Linked DNA regions of Arabidopsis thaliana. The main gene of each other region encodes a partner of the protein of the gene in region 2 in a complex. Each region holds a gene or a part of one and is shown on either strand. Other genes may lie near its edges. The genes, in order: PnsL4, NdhT and PnsL1.

Evidence for each region.
Region 1: NdhT (region 2) and PnsL4 share a complex: the UniProt entries of both Arabidopsis thaliana proteins name them as parts of the chloroplast NDH complex.
Region 3: NdhT (region 2) and PnsL1 share a complex: the UniProt entries of both Arabidopsis thaliana proteins name them as parts of the chloroplast NDH complex.

The regions. Positions count from the first base shown.
Region 1 is NC_003075.7:18,426,979-18,430,737, forward strand, and holds the start of PnsL4 (FK506-binding protein 16-2), read right to left. Parts: upstream 1,601-3,759; 5' UTR 1,348-1,600; coding exon 1,000-1,347; intron 914-999; coding exon 821-913; intron 642-820; coding exon 581-641; intron 505-580; coding exon 436-504; intron 354-435; coding exon 271-353; 3' UTR 1-270. Other genes in the region: AT4G39720 (VQ motif-containing protein), read right to left, coding at 2,202-2,218, 2,337-2,375, 3,052-3,759. UniProt on the Arabidopsis thaliana protein: NDH shuttles electrons from NAD(P)H:plastoquinone, via FMN and iron-sulfur (Fe-S) centers, to quinones in the photosynthetic chain and possibly in a chloroplast respiratory chain.
Region 2 is NC_003075.7:5,930,451-5,934,106, forward strand, and holds NdhT (Chaperone DnaJ-domain superfamily protein), read right to left. Parts: upstream 2,026-3,656; 5' UTR 1,703-2,025; coding exon 1,377-1,702; intron 1,291-1,376; coding exon 867-1,290; 3' UTR 660-866; downstream 1-659. UniProt on the Arabidopsis thaliana protein: NDH shuttles electrons from NAD(P)H:plastoquinone, via FMN and iron-sulfur (Fe-S) centers, to quinones in the photosynthetic chain and possibly in a chloroplast respiratory chain.
Region 3 is NC_003071.7:16,474,039-16,477,797, reverse strand, and holds the start of PnsL1 (PsbP-like protein 2), read right to left. Parts: upstream 1,601-3,759; 5' UTR 1,464-1,600; coding exon 1,404-1,463; intron 1,322-1,403; coding exon 1,240-1,321; intron 1,155-1,239; coding exon 1,050-1,154; intron 957-1,049; coding exon 883-956; intron 797-882; coding exon 674-796; intron 587-673; coding exon 515-586; intron 431-514; coding exon 334-430; intron 249-333; coding exon 145-248; 3' UTR 1-144. Other genes in the region: RPL23AA (ribosomal protein L23AA), read right to left, coding at 1,894-1,978, 2,067-2,430, 2,734-2,749. UniProt on the Arabidopsis thaliana protein: NDH shuttles electrons from NAD(P)H:plastoquinone, via FMN and iron-sulfur (Fe-S) centers, to quinones in the photosynthetic chain and possibly in a chloroplast respiratory chain.

The DNA.
Region 1 (3,759 bases), about 12 Mb from region 2:
CTTACCAAGACTGAATCTAACCTAACACGCGCTTATACATTTATGCAAGTATATGATTTTCCAAGGTCATAACTTAACAAAAAGACAGATCTGCACAGAGAAGATGTGTCTTGTTCTTTAATAGGAGGTTAGACATTGGATTCAGTTGGAAATCATCAATGTTTTAGGTTACAGAAATTATAATCTGAAGCTTGTCAAAAGTAATCACCTGGTGATATACATCACATACATAGTTGTTTGTTCCTTTACCAAACGGGATTGGAGTTGGCTTCATCTTGTATTACTTCCTGGGTAGATCTCAACAAAGTTGATATCATAGAGCAAAGTTGCATTGCCAGGTATGTTGCAGTCACCTGCATAAAGAGTCGATTTATTACTCGAGATACATATCTTACATATACAAGTGAAACTGTTACAGAGGAATTGTGCAAGTACCAGAAAAGCATCCTGCAGGCTCTGGTCCATAAGCTAACTTAGGTGGAATCTGAAGTTTACGCTTTCCGCCTGCAAAATAAAACCGCACCAATATGTTATCAGCCAAATAAAGGACATTGAACAAAGGAAAATACAGTACACTTGCCTACTCGCATAGGAGGTACTCCTTCGCCTCCAAGAATCCCCTGGTCTAGTCCCCTAATTACCTGATCATTTTTGGACATCAAGAGTTTAGATATATAGTTGTTTTGCTCACCCTAATCACAAAGAAGAACATAAGAAACTAACTAACTTCAACAAAGACAAGTGTGAACTTTGCTAGCAATGCAATTGAAGACTATGGAAGCTAACAAAGAGAGAGAGAGACAATGGTTCTTTGTTGTACCTTGCCGACTCCAATTCGCATAGTAAGTGGTCTTGCACGCTTATAGCTACTGTCAAACAACGTTCCATCTGCAAACCTCGCCGTGTAATGGATCTGTGTGTGTGTGACCAACTCTCCAAAGTCTCAAACTTTGAATCAAAAACCCTAAACAGAGGAAATTAGAGAGATGGAGAGATTACATTGACGAGTACGCCACGAGGGGCTTCATCACCAAATCCAACATCGAGATCGCAAAATCCAAGTCCTGATTTTGCGTAGCTGTATTCGCAGAGAGGATCTCCTACAGTGGCGTAGTAGTCAATCCTCGTGGCGTCTGCGTCCAGAGGCGTTAGAGAGAGAATCGAAGAAGCTAGGAACCCTAAACCCACTCCGAAAACGCGTTTCTTGACGGAGAGTTTCGGCTCGCAATCGGAGGAAGAAGAACAGAGACACGAAAAGGACGAGGAAGAAGAAGAAGAAAAGAAGATGGTTGGTCTGAAGGAACGTGTATAGAGAGATTGTGTGAGTGTTAAAGTAGAAATCGCCATTCTTCTTTGAGTCTTCGTTTCGATCTCTGCTTCCTTATCTGCGTGAAGCCAGAGCCTTTGGTCTGAATCTTTTGTCTTTTGAGTGTGCAACGGTACAATGGATATGATTATGGGACCCACCCGTATTTTTTTGGATTTCTATTTTCAACAGAACAAAAATAATAATGAAACTTTTGGAGCCAATCGGCCCACAAAATTGAGAACCCGAATCGAATTATTTGGATAGTAAGATAATGGCCAGACCTAGTTATCACTCAACTATGAAACCGAGTATCATCTGAATACATAGAAAACCCATCAGTGCGACAATAGCTTGATATCATGGTCCACCATAACCACCACCATAATATTAAACCATCATCATCACCCATTATTATATATTCCATTTAGATAGAGATACACATATATGCACATTGTTGATAGTTTATGTAAGTGATGTGTATAGGTTATACAGTGCATTGGTGACTTAAGTGTAACTGGTCCGTGGACAAAAAAATATCAAAATCATTTGAACTTTTGTATACACAAGAACAAGCAAAAGATTTTTCATCAAATGTCATTATTTGTTTTGCGACCATCAATCCATCATCAAATCTTATTGTGAAAAACAAGAATTATTATTTTTAAGAGTTACTATTATACTATACAGTAGCAAATGATATTATTGAAAACCCCGCTTACAAAGAACTGACATTTCATTCTGAAGTGTTGTTAAGCTAGAGACTAGAAAGAGATATAAATTAAGCTGAATATTCTAACGATTGATTGGTTAATGAGAAGACTGAAAAAAGTTAGGAATTTTGTAGACGCATCACATTCAGAGCCGTGACAAGGTCAATGGTTGTCGGAGGCGGTCAAATGAAATTTGCCCCTATTCACAAACAAAGAGACTTATAATAATAGAAGTAAAAGTGTCTATAAAGATAAATTGTCATATGACAAAAGTAGGTCAAAACCAAAATGTATGTATAATTATCATTATTGATTACCTGTTTTTCTTTTGCTTGGGAAATTTTCAAATTTCAAATCTGTTGGTATGGTAAAATGAGAGTCAAGTCAATAAAAATTGACGTTAATGTAGATGATACACCAAAAATGAATAAGCACATGGGAGAACAGTAATTTATCAAATTTCAAATCACCACAAGTCTATAATTAATTAATAATTATATACTATGGTCCCAAAACCATATTCCACAATCCGGCGGCCGTGGAAGATTCCCCAAATTTCGCCACCATTCACTCCAATATTAATTAGGAGAAATATTAACCGTAGTGATCCCAAAACCACGTACTGTATATTGATTGTTGAAAAATTAAAATTTCATATCGCAAGTCATCGTTGTCATTAAAATTTAAAAGTTCTATATAATTATAAGAAAATATACCAAGAAAATCTGATTCAAATGGTGAGATCCATCTACTAACTAATACTTACCAACATATAGTTATGGAAAAAACTAAGATTAACAAATAACAAGCATATTAATTAAGTATTAAATAATTAACAAACCCTACACGAAAAAAGTTTTAAAGTGGTTTATACTGAAATATAGAATATATAAACGAGTAACTTCATCATGCTATATGTGCTATGTTTAATTTGTTGAGTAATCATGTCAAGAGATTAGCTTTGATTTCGGACTTGGACTATACATAAATATATTTATGTTCTCTGGTCGGAAGACGAAGATAACCAAGTACCGTCATTATTATGTTCATGATCGGAGCCACCGTAGCTTCCATTATCACCGGTGTTTATGTTCCCGTTAGCCGCTGCCGTTGTAGTAGGAGGATTAGTAGATGGAGTCTGCATCATACCAAGACCAAACTGATCGTGCTCATTGCTTCTAGGGTTTGAAATATGAGCTTGAAGAAGAGCTTGCAGATTCATATCCTCGAAACCGTTGTTAGGGTTTTGATATTGCTGAATTTGTGATCCGGATAAGAGAGGAGTCGCTGGAGTGAGTTTTTGAGCAAACGGTCGTAACAAGAGATTGTTGGTGTTGTAAGTGTTTGGCGAAGAAGAAGACAAGCCGAGGAAAGTGTTGAGGCGCGTGGTGTTCACGATGGAGTTGTTGTTGAATAGCGGTGGAGCTGGGATTCCGGTAAACTCTTGAACCATCGCTCGGAAGTTGGAAGTATCCGTCGTTAGAACCGTCGTTGGTGCTCTTCTTGATGCTCGAGATCTTTTCTTTGTTTTCTTGATTACTCCTATATTGTTAGTAGGAGGGAGTGATGACGTGGCGGAGGAGGTTCGGAGGTCGAGTTGAGAAATCGGGTCGGGTTGTTGGTTTACGGGTAAGAACGTGTTGTTGTTAAAGTAGTTTGGTGGTATTAGAGAGTTGTTGTTGTTATGGTCGAAATGGAGGAGGTTGCGATGGTTTTGTTGCGGCGTGGGTATAGATGACA
Region 2 (3,656 bases):
GAAATTTGCTCACATTGAAGCCTCGCTAAAACAGTTCATTGAGACAATGACAACACAAGCCATGTTCCAAATCAAAATGTGATCGACGACATTTAGTACTTAACCGTTGACGTCTCAATTTGGGTTTCCAGTGAAAGGCTTATAGTGCTTAGTGTGCAGACAATTTTGGCTTCTTCACGTGCTATCACCCTTCATTTACTCAAACTAGTCTGAAAGAACAACAAAATCCTTTATCACTTCATCTAGTTCTATTAGCTTATGTGCGTTTGTTATGCGGATGGACTGAAGTTTGCTTGATAAATTATGCTTCATGTTTTTCTTTTGTCATGGGACCATTTATAGTCTTTTGATTATACTCTTAAACTGTTTTCATTTTTAGTGAAATATTTACATCTTAGGAAAAAAAGAAAAAAAAACGTAGTCAAAATGTGCATCGAACAGTTCTAAGGAACACGTCTAAGGAGGATTGAGTCAGGTGCTACATATATATAAGACTTGATAAAAGGGTATTGTTGCAAAAGGTAGTGAAAAAAGGGTAGTTTTGCAAATCTCCCTAGTTTTTATTCCTACTATACTTCCCAAACTAGTGAATTCCGCATTAGTTATCAAAACTACTATTTTGTTCGCTTTGTTTTATATAAATGAGACTATTTGGATTAGCTAGGTAAGCATAACAAAATATAGCTCTAAAACAATGTTTGGATAGCTTAGAAAAAATCCAAAAATAACACACACACAAAAAAGGTGAGGAACAGAACCACTAGACCACTTTATTTTAGTTCAAATGATCTTATAATCTGTAATTGTTAATCTTCCATCTACATATAAACTATATGAATTTTCCAAGTATATACAAAGCTCCTTACCTAGTAAGAAGGATCTTTGAAAACAATCACAAAAGCTATACAACAAACAGCGAATAATACGATCAAAATATCGAACGTGAGAGCAGTCATTGCTTGATCACTAAGCTCCATGTTTCTTCCACCTAACCGGTCAACCATATCAGGTATTGATTCATAGCCCCTAAAATCTTGCTCTTTCGGATCCTCTAGCTTCATTCTCATTTTCTCAGCTTGACGACTCGCAACTTCTTGAGCCAGTGTCCAGTCATAAAACCTCCGAGTCTCTTCATCGCTCAAAACATTGTACACTTCTCTTAATTTCATGAACTTTTCTGAAGCTGTTTTAAGTGGTAGTGAAGTTGTATCTGGATGATACTCTTTAGATAATCTCCGGTACGCAGATTTTATCTCTTCTAGATCAGCATCCGTTGAAACACCTAAGAATCTGAAAATGATTATTGTTACATGTTACAATACATATTGAAAAATAAAAATAAAAAGATATGTAATGAGAATGTTTGTTTTGCTCACTGGTAATGAGAATCAAAAGAGTCTTTGATTAGTTCTGCAAATTTTTCGTCACTAAGGAGATTGGTTTTGTCCTCATCAACCGATTTGGCCGGGTCGGATCTTCCTCCGATCCAGCCTTCGTCCGGGCTTTCCCAGTGGATTCTTGTGTCTACTCCTGGAGATGGTTTTGACGGTTTAGTCGGGCCTTGTGACGCGTATATACGCGTCACTCTTCTTGCTGTTATCCTTCTAAATGCTTTCGTGTCATCCGTGAAATGCGCGCCGTTTTGGATTTTGGGTAGGATAATGCATGAGGTTCGTGCATAGGTAGAAGTTGCATAAGCCATGGCTCTGTGTTGAAGATGGTTTGTTCTTTTTTTTTCTGCCCTTCATGTTTTTGGTTTCTCTTACCGCAGAAACTTGTTCCAGAACCTCATGATATGTGTGGTGTAGATTTTCTTTATATCTTTTGTTGTCCTATCTAGTGTCCATAGGAACAAAAAATTTAAATAATTAAATGTCAACAAAAAAAAAGTATGAAACGTAAAGATATAAGAGACAAAACGTTGAGAAGAGAGGGGCAATGAGAGGAAGAAATAATGTAGAGATAAATGATTTCTTTCTTTGGAAGCGATGTCTAAATATGTTATGCAACAAATGTGTGCGTTTGTAATATATATAGGGTAAAAATAGACAATTGTATCATAATTAGGATATGACCCGCGATATACCGTAAATTAAATTTATTTATTTATTTTTCTTTATCACAAAATATAATTTGTTGTTTGTTGTTGTTTGTGATGATTAATAATTATCGATAAGGTTGTGTATGTTTTTTATTGAGTCACAATTATGATATTAATAAGTCTAATATATGTTATTTTATCTTTTAGGATTTGACTTGTGATAGACCATACCACGGGATAATATTTTATTTTATTCATAATTTGTTATAAAAAAATTATTTAATATAAACTTTTGGTGTTTTCAAATTTAATCCATGGAACATATGTAGTTTAGTAACTTTATATTAAAATTACACATTTAAATGTATCAAAGAAGAATAACATTTAGAGGTGTCAAAGAAGATTAACACTTATACTAAAATGTTGATTTTATTTATTTTTTTGTAACTAAAAATTTGAAATTAAAATTGTATTTGTTATGTTATTATTGTTTGTTTTGTTTACTATTGTATAGTTGTAATTTGATTGTTAATTCTAGGAGTACACCCGTGGTATCCAAATTTTTCCCATCTAAACTCATAGCACCATATAATCTCGTCTCATCCAAACCCGTCCTACCATGTAAACTCGTCTCCTGTAAACCCGTCCCGCCATATAAATCCGTCCCGTGATAACTAAAAATCAAATTGTTCTTTTTCTTTTTAATAATATTTTTATTTAATATACTTCGAGTCGGTTTACAATTTCAATTTAAAAAGAAAAATTGTATAATATATTGAAATTTTAACAATTTCAATCTAATAAGAATCAATATCGGATCGTTTCGAAGATTTTATATCGAATTCTTTGAACAAAAAATAACACAATTTCTTGTTAAATATTTTGTATCTTTTAAATTAATGTATTTCCTATTTGTATATTTTATATTCAATATATTTGGTTTTGATATAAATTAGAAAATCCGTTTAAATAATTATTAAAATTTGAATCCCGAAGATATTTATGTGATTTTTTATAATTTAAAGATTGTTGTTGAGATTTTTTAGTGTCTATTTTTTGTTGCATTTATTTGTTTGCAAGGTCTATCATAATTAAGGTGAAGTTACAAAAAGATCTGTAAAGTATAATATCGTTCACATATTGATTATAGAATTATTTAGATTATTTTTAAAAAGGAAAAAATTACAACATATGCCATATTTTTTCCAATCCTTATGCAATCTGCCATAATTTGCTGGGCCTTACAACTCATGTCATATTTCATACTGAAATATCGATTTTGTCCCTCTCCATTTCTTCTCTATTTTATCTCTCCTTCCTTGAAATCTGTGCGCTTTAACCATATATTATTATCTTCCCGAAGATGAAGCGCTTTTGTCACTCTCTCACTTTCTTTGACAACCTGCACAGATTCTTTACATGTAACTTTCAATTAAATTTGTCTCTCAATTTTATTCATCACAATATTTCTGTTGTATCTAGATCTTGTCCTTGATTTCATCATTTTTTACCATCTATTTTGGTCCACAGATTAGTTGAGCATTATTGTTTTCACCGACACGATTTTTTTTTCTTCTATTGTAAAACAACAAAAATATTCAGTTATTACATATTA
Region 3 (3,759 bases), on a different chromosome or scaffold from region 2:
TGAACCAACTCAGAATCTAACTCACAATGCCAAAACCATCGTTGGAGTTATAGAGAATATGAAAATATCAAATTGTTATCTACAGACAGTTTTGTAACCACAGAGAGAGAAAGATATATAGGAGTAAGATGTTTCTTGTGTTTGTCAAATCTGAAGGATCTTCAAAGAGTCGGCCACAACTTGAAGCTGCTTTTTCACTTTCCTCCACCTTCTCTCATTTGCTCCAACTATGAGAGTGTAGTATCTGTCTGCAACATCAAATCAGTCATAACACTTGTTTATTCCTCAATTTCTTCTCTCATCTATCTCATAATTCTTATAATCTGTGCTTACTGTTTCCAACTGCCACTGTTGCAAAGGAAGTGGTTGCATAGATAGGAGTTCTTAGTCCATACTCAAACGTGTAATAGTTCTTTCCATCTTCCACCCTCTGCATTTTCATCTCTTATTGTTTATAAAGATCCAATCTCTCAACAACTTTGATGATTCTTTAAGATGTTAACAATCATCTGACCTCTTTCATATCGTAGATGGTAGCTACTTGGTTTGGTGCTGCAAACTTATGCTTCACTAGATCATAAACCACCTGATGAACATATATAAGAATGATGAACCAATGTGAATTCTCTAATGACATAGATGGTAGAGGGAAAGTAAGGTGTGTAATACATACCTCTTCCATAGGACCTACTTCATGGATGTCGTTTTTCTCCGTTGGTATGAACCTGACCCGCACATTCTGCAGTTGCAAGTATCTATCTTTGAAGGCTGAATCATGTGCCCTGAAGTCAAATTCCTACGTAGTAAGGGCAGAACAGAGATATTCTCAATTCATTTATGTTTCATTCTTTCAACAAAAATGGAAACAAAGCCATTACCCACCCTCCAGTCTGATGGGTAATAGTAAGAATACCCGTCTTCTCGATCCACAAAAGGCGAGTAGCTTTTTGGTATCTCTGCAAACATGATATGAATCAACATATTAGGCTTTTGGTCCCAAAAGAATGAAGAAGAGAGGCAAAAACAAAACCCTTAGTTTTGCAGATTACCTTCAGCAAGAAGCAAAGTTGCTGGAATTGAAGTTGCCACTAAAGTTCCTACTCCCACAAGAGCTTGCCTTCTCTTCCAATTGTTTCCGCTGCCTTTTTGGTAAGCTATTGAATTTTAATAAAAATCAATCCACACAAGTCAATGTATTACGTATGAGAAGGAAAATGTCACAAGAGTTTAGTTTCTTACTACTCTCCGAGGAGTCGGCCTTACCACCGGATGAAAGTAAACAACAAGCTTTGAGTGATGGATTTGGACAGAGAATTTCTGTCTGGTAAGAAATATGAATCAATGAACAATAATGATTTTTAGTTTTCAGAAATGGAGACTGGAATCAGAACAGTGTTATTAACCTTGTGGGAGATTGTTGGTGAGAAACCACCACAGCGGATTGAGAGTGAGGAGACTGCCATAGTGGCTACAATTCACAAGACTTTTGATGATCAATGAACATTGCCTTAGTGTTCTATGTGGATAAGAAATTTCTGATTTTCGTCATTTCTCGGACTTCTCCATTCATCAACATGTGGATAAAAGGATAATGAAAGATGCAAACAATATGTGGTGATAGATCGATTTATGATCATTTACTGGTTAGAGAAGATACTGCATTTGTATGTTTACAGTTTATAAGTTAGTGAGTTTTAAAAAGAGAATCTTGATAAGTCAAAAACATAGAACTTGAATTCAACAATAAACTGCAACATGAATGTATTGTAAAACGTTTTTGCTCCAAAATACTACAATTACCAGATGATAGTAATAATAAATATCTTAAAAGCAAAACTGAGACTACAAGAGACAAAACCACAATAGTCTTTATAACTGCAGAGATAGATAGACTTAGATGATGCCGATCTTGTTAGCAACATCCAAAGCATCATAGTCTGGTGTAAGCCTCACGTAAGCCTTCTTGGTTCCATCAGGCCTGTAACAAAACCAAACCATAGTGTCAAATATATTGAACATAATCAATCTCACAACAAGGCTTCATAGAAAAATACTCTTTAAAGTACCTGATGAGTGTGTTCACTTTCTTGGTCTGGATGTCATACATCTTCTTAACAGCATCCTTAATCTTCTTCTTGTCAGCACGAATGTCAACAATGAAAACAAGAGTGTTGTTGTCTTCAATCTTCTTCATCGCAGATTCAGTGGTGAGTGGGTACTTAAGGATTTGGTAGTGATCCAACTTGTTCCTTGGAGTAGCGCTGATTTTTGGGTACTTACCAGTTCTAGGCTTGGTAAGAGTCTTTGGCCTGTGGAAGGTGACCTTGGTCCTAATCTTTTTGTCCTTCTTCTTGAAGGCTTGACCAGACTTCACAGCCTTTGCCGCCTTCAAGGCCTTGGCCTTAGGATCAGCCTTCTTGGTAGTATCAACTGCAAATTACATACAACAGAGAGTTTAAGCATCATATAATACTTTGATACAAATCTGACTTCAATACATGAATACTCAGAAACACGTCTACAGACAAAATTCATTTGGATACTACATTAATCTCACTTAGTTGAAGCTAATCAGGAAGATATTGAAACTAATCACCTAACGAAACATGATTAGAAAACATTAATCGAGACCAGATACTAGCGGGTTCAGCAAAACTAAAGTCTAGTAGAAGAAGATCCAAATCCATCATGTTCCAGTGAAGATTCAAGTGGTTATCAATGAAAAGATCGTACCTTTAGCCGGAGACATGGCTTGAAATGATTCTTCACACACGAAATCTGTGAAATTTTTAGATAGAAACCCAGAAAGCGAAGCTCAGTAATGAATCTGAAGAAAGAAATGTAGGACGATTTCGAGAGATAGTTTGCAAAATCGAGACACGAACCTGGAGAGGTGAAGCCGCTGATTCTCAAAACCCTAACTTACGCCGCAACAAGTTTTATAGTGGAAACTGAAACCCTAAGATACTTAGTTGGGTCTATAATGGGCCTTTTTACCACAATCATCATCTAACCCAGTAAGCTTTGGATTGAATAAATGGGCCTTTTACCATAATCGTCCATCGGACGCATAAGCCATAAGTGACGAAAAATTTCATTAGAAAAAAATGAAAATGAGCATAAGATCACTGATTCTTTTGGTTGCACAAAAAGATACTTAAAAGATAATATGGGCTTGCAACATTGTAAATAGGCCTTTGACCAAAATCATCATGTAAAACCCAAATAGAAAGTGAGCGTAAATTTAAGTTACTAGTTTATTTTTAACGTAATGGTATTGGCGTAAGAAACATACAAACGTGTCTTTTGTCTTACCATACAAACGTGTCTTTTGGCGTAAGAAACATATTTGCTTCTTCTCTTGTGTCTATGACCTTTCTTTGGTTTTGCCATTCCAAAGTAAATTATTACAGAATAAAATTTAGTCAGCTTTGGTTTGACTTGAAAGCATACAATCTTTGACCAAACCAAAGCAAATCGAACAATGGCTAACCAAAAAACAAACCAATTGGTCACGAAACTAAACAATAATCATTTACTTACGCTTGACAATAAGAGAACAACAAGCCTGCTCTACATGTCTAATATTTTACGATAATTGTGAAGAAGAAAGCTTTAGCTGAACTGGCTTCTACCATTTTTCAAAGGTTCTTCTATATCTTGGGTCGGTTGTATCTAATACAGTTTTTATACTACATAATAGAGTTTGAGAGGGCACATATGTGACTCATAACCATGTCATGTCACGGGGTCGTTTAA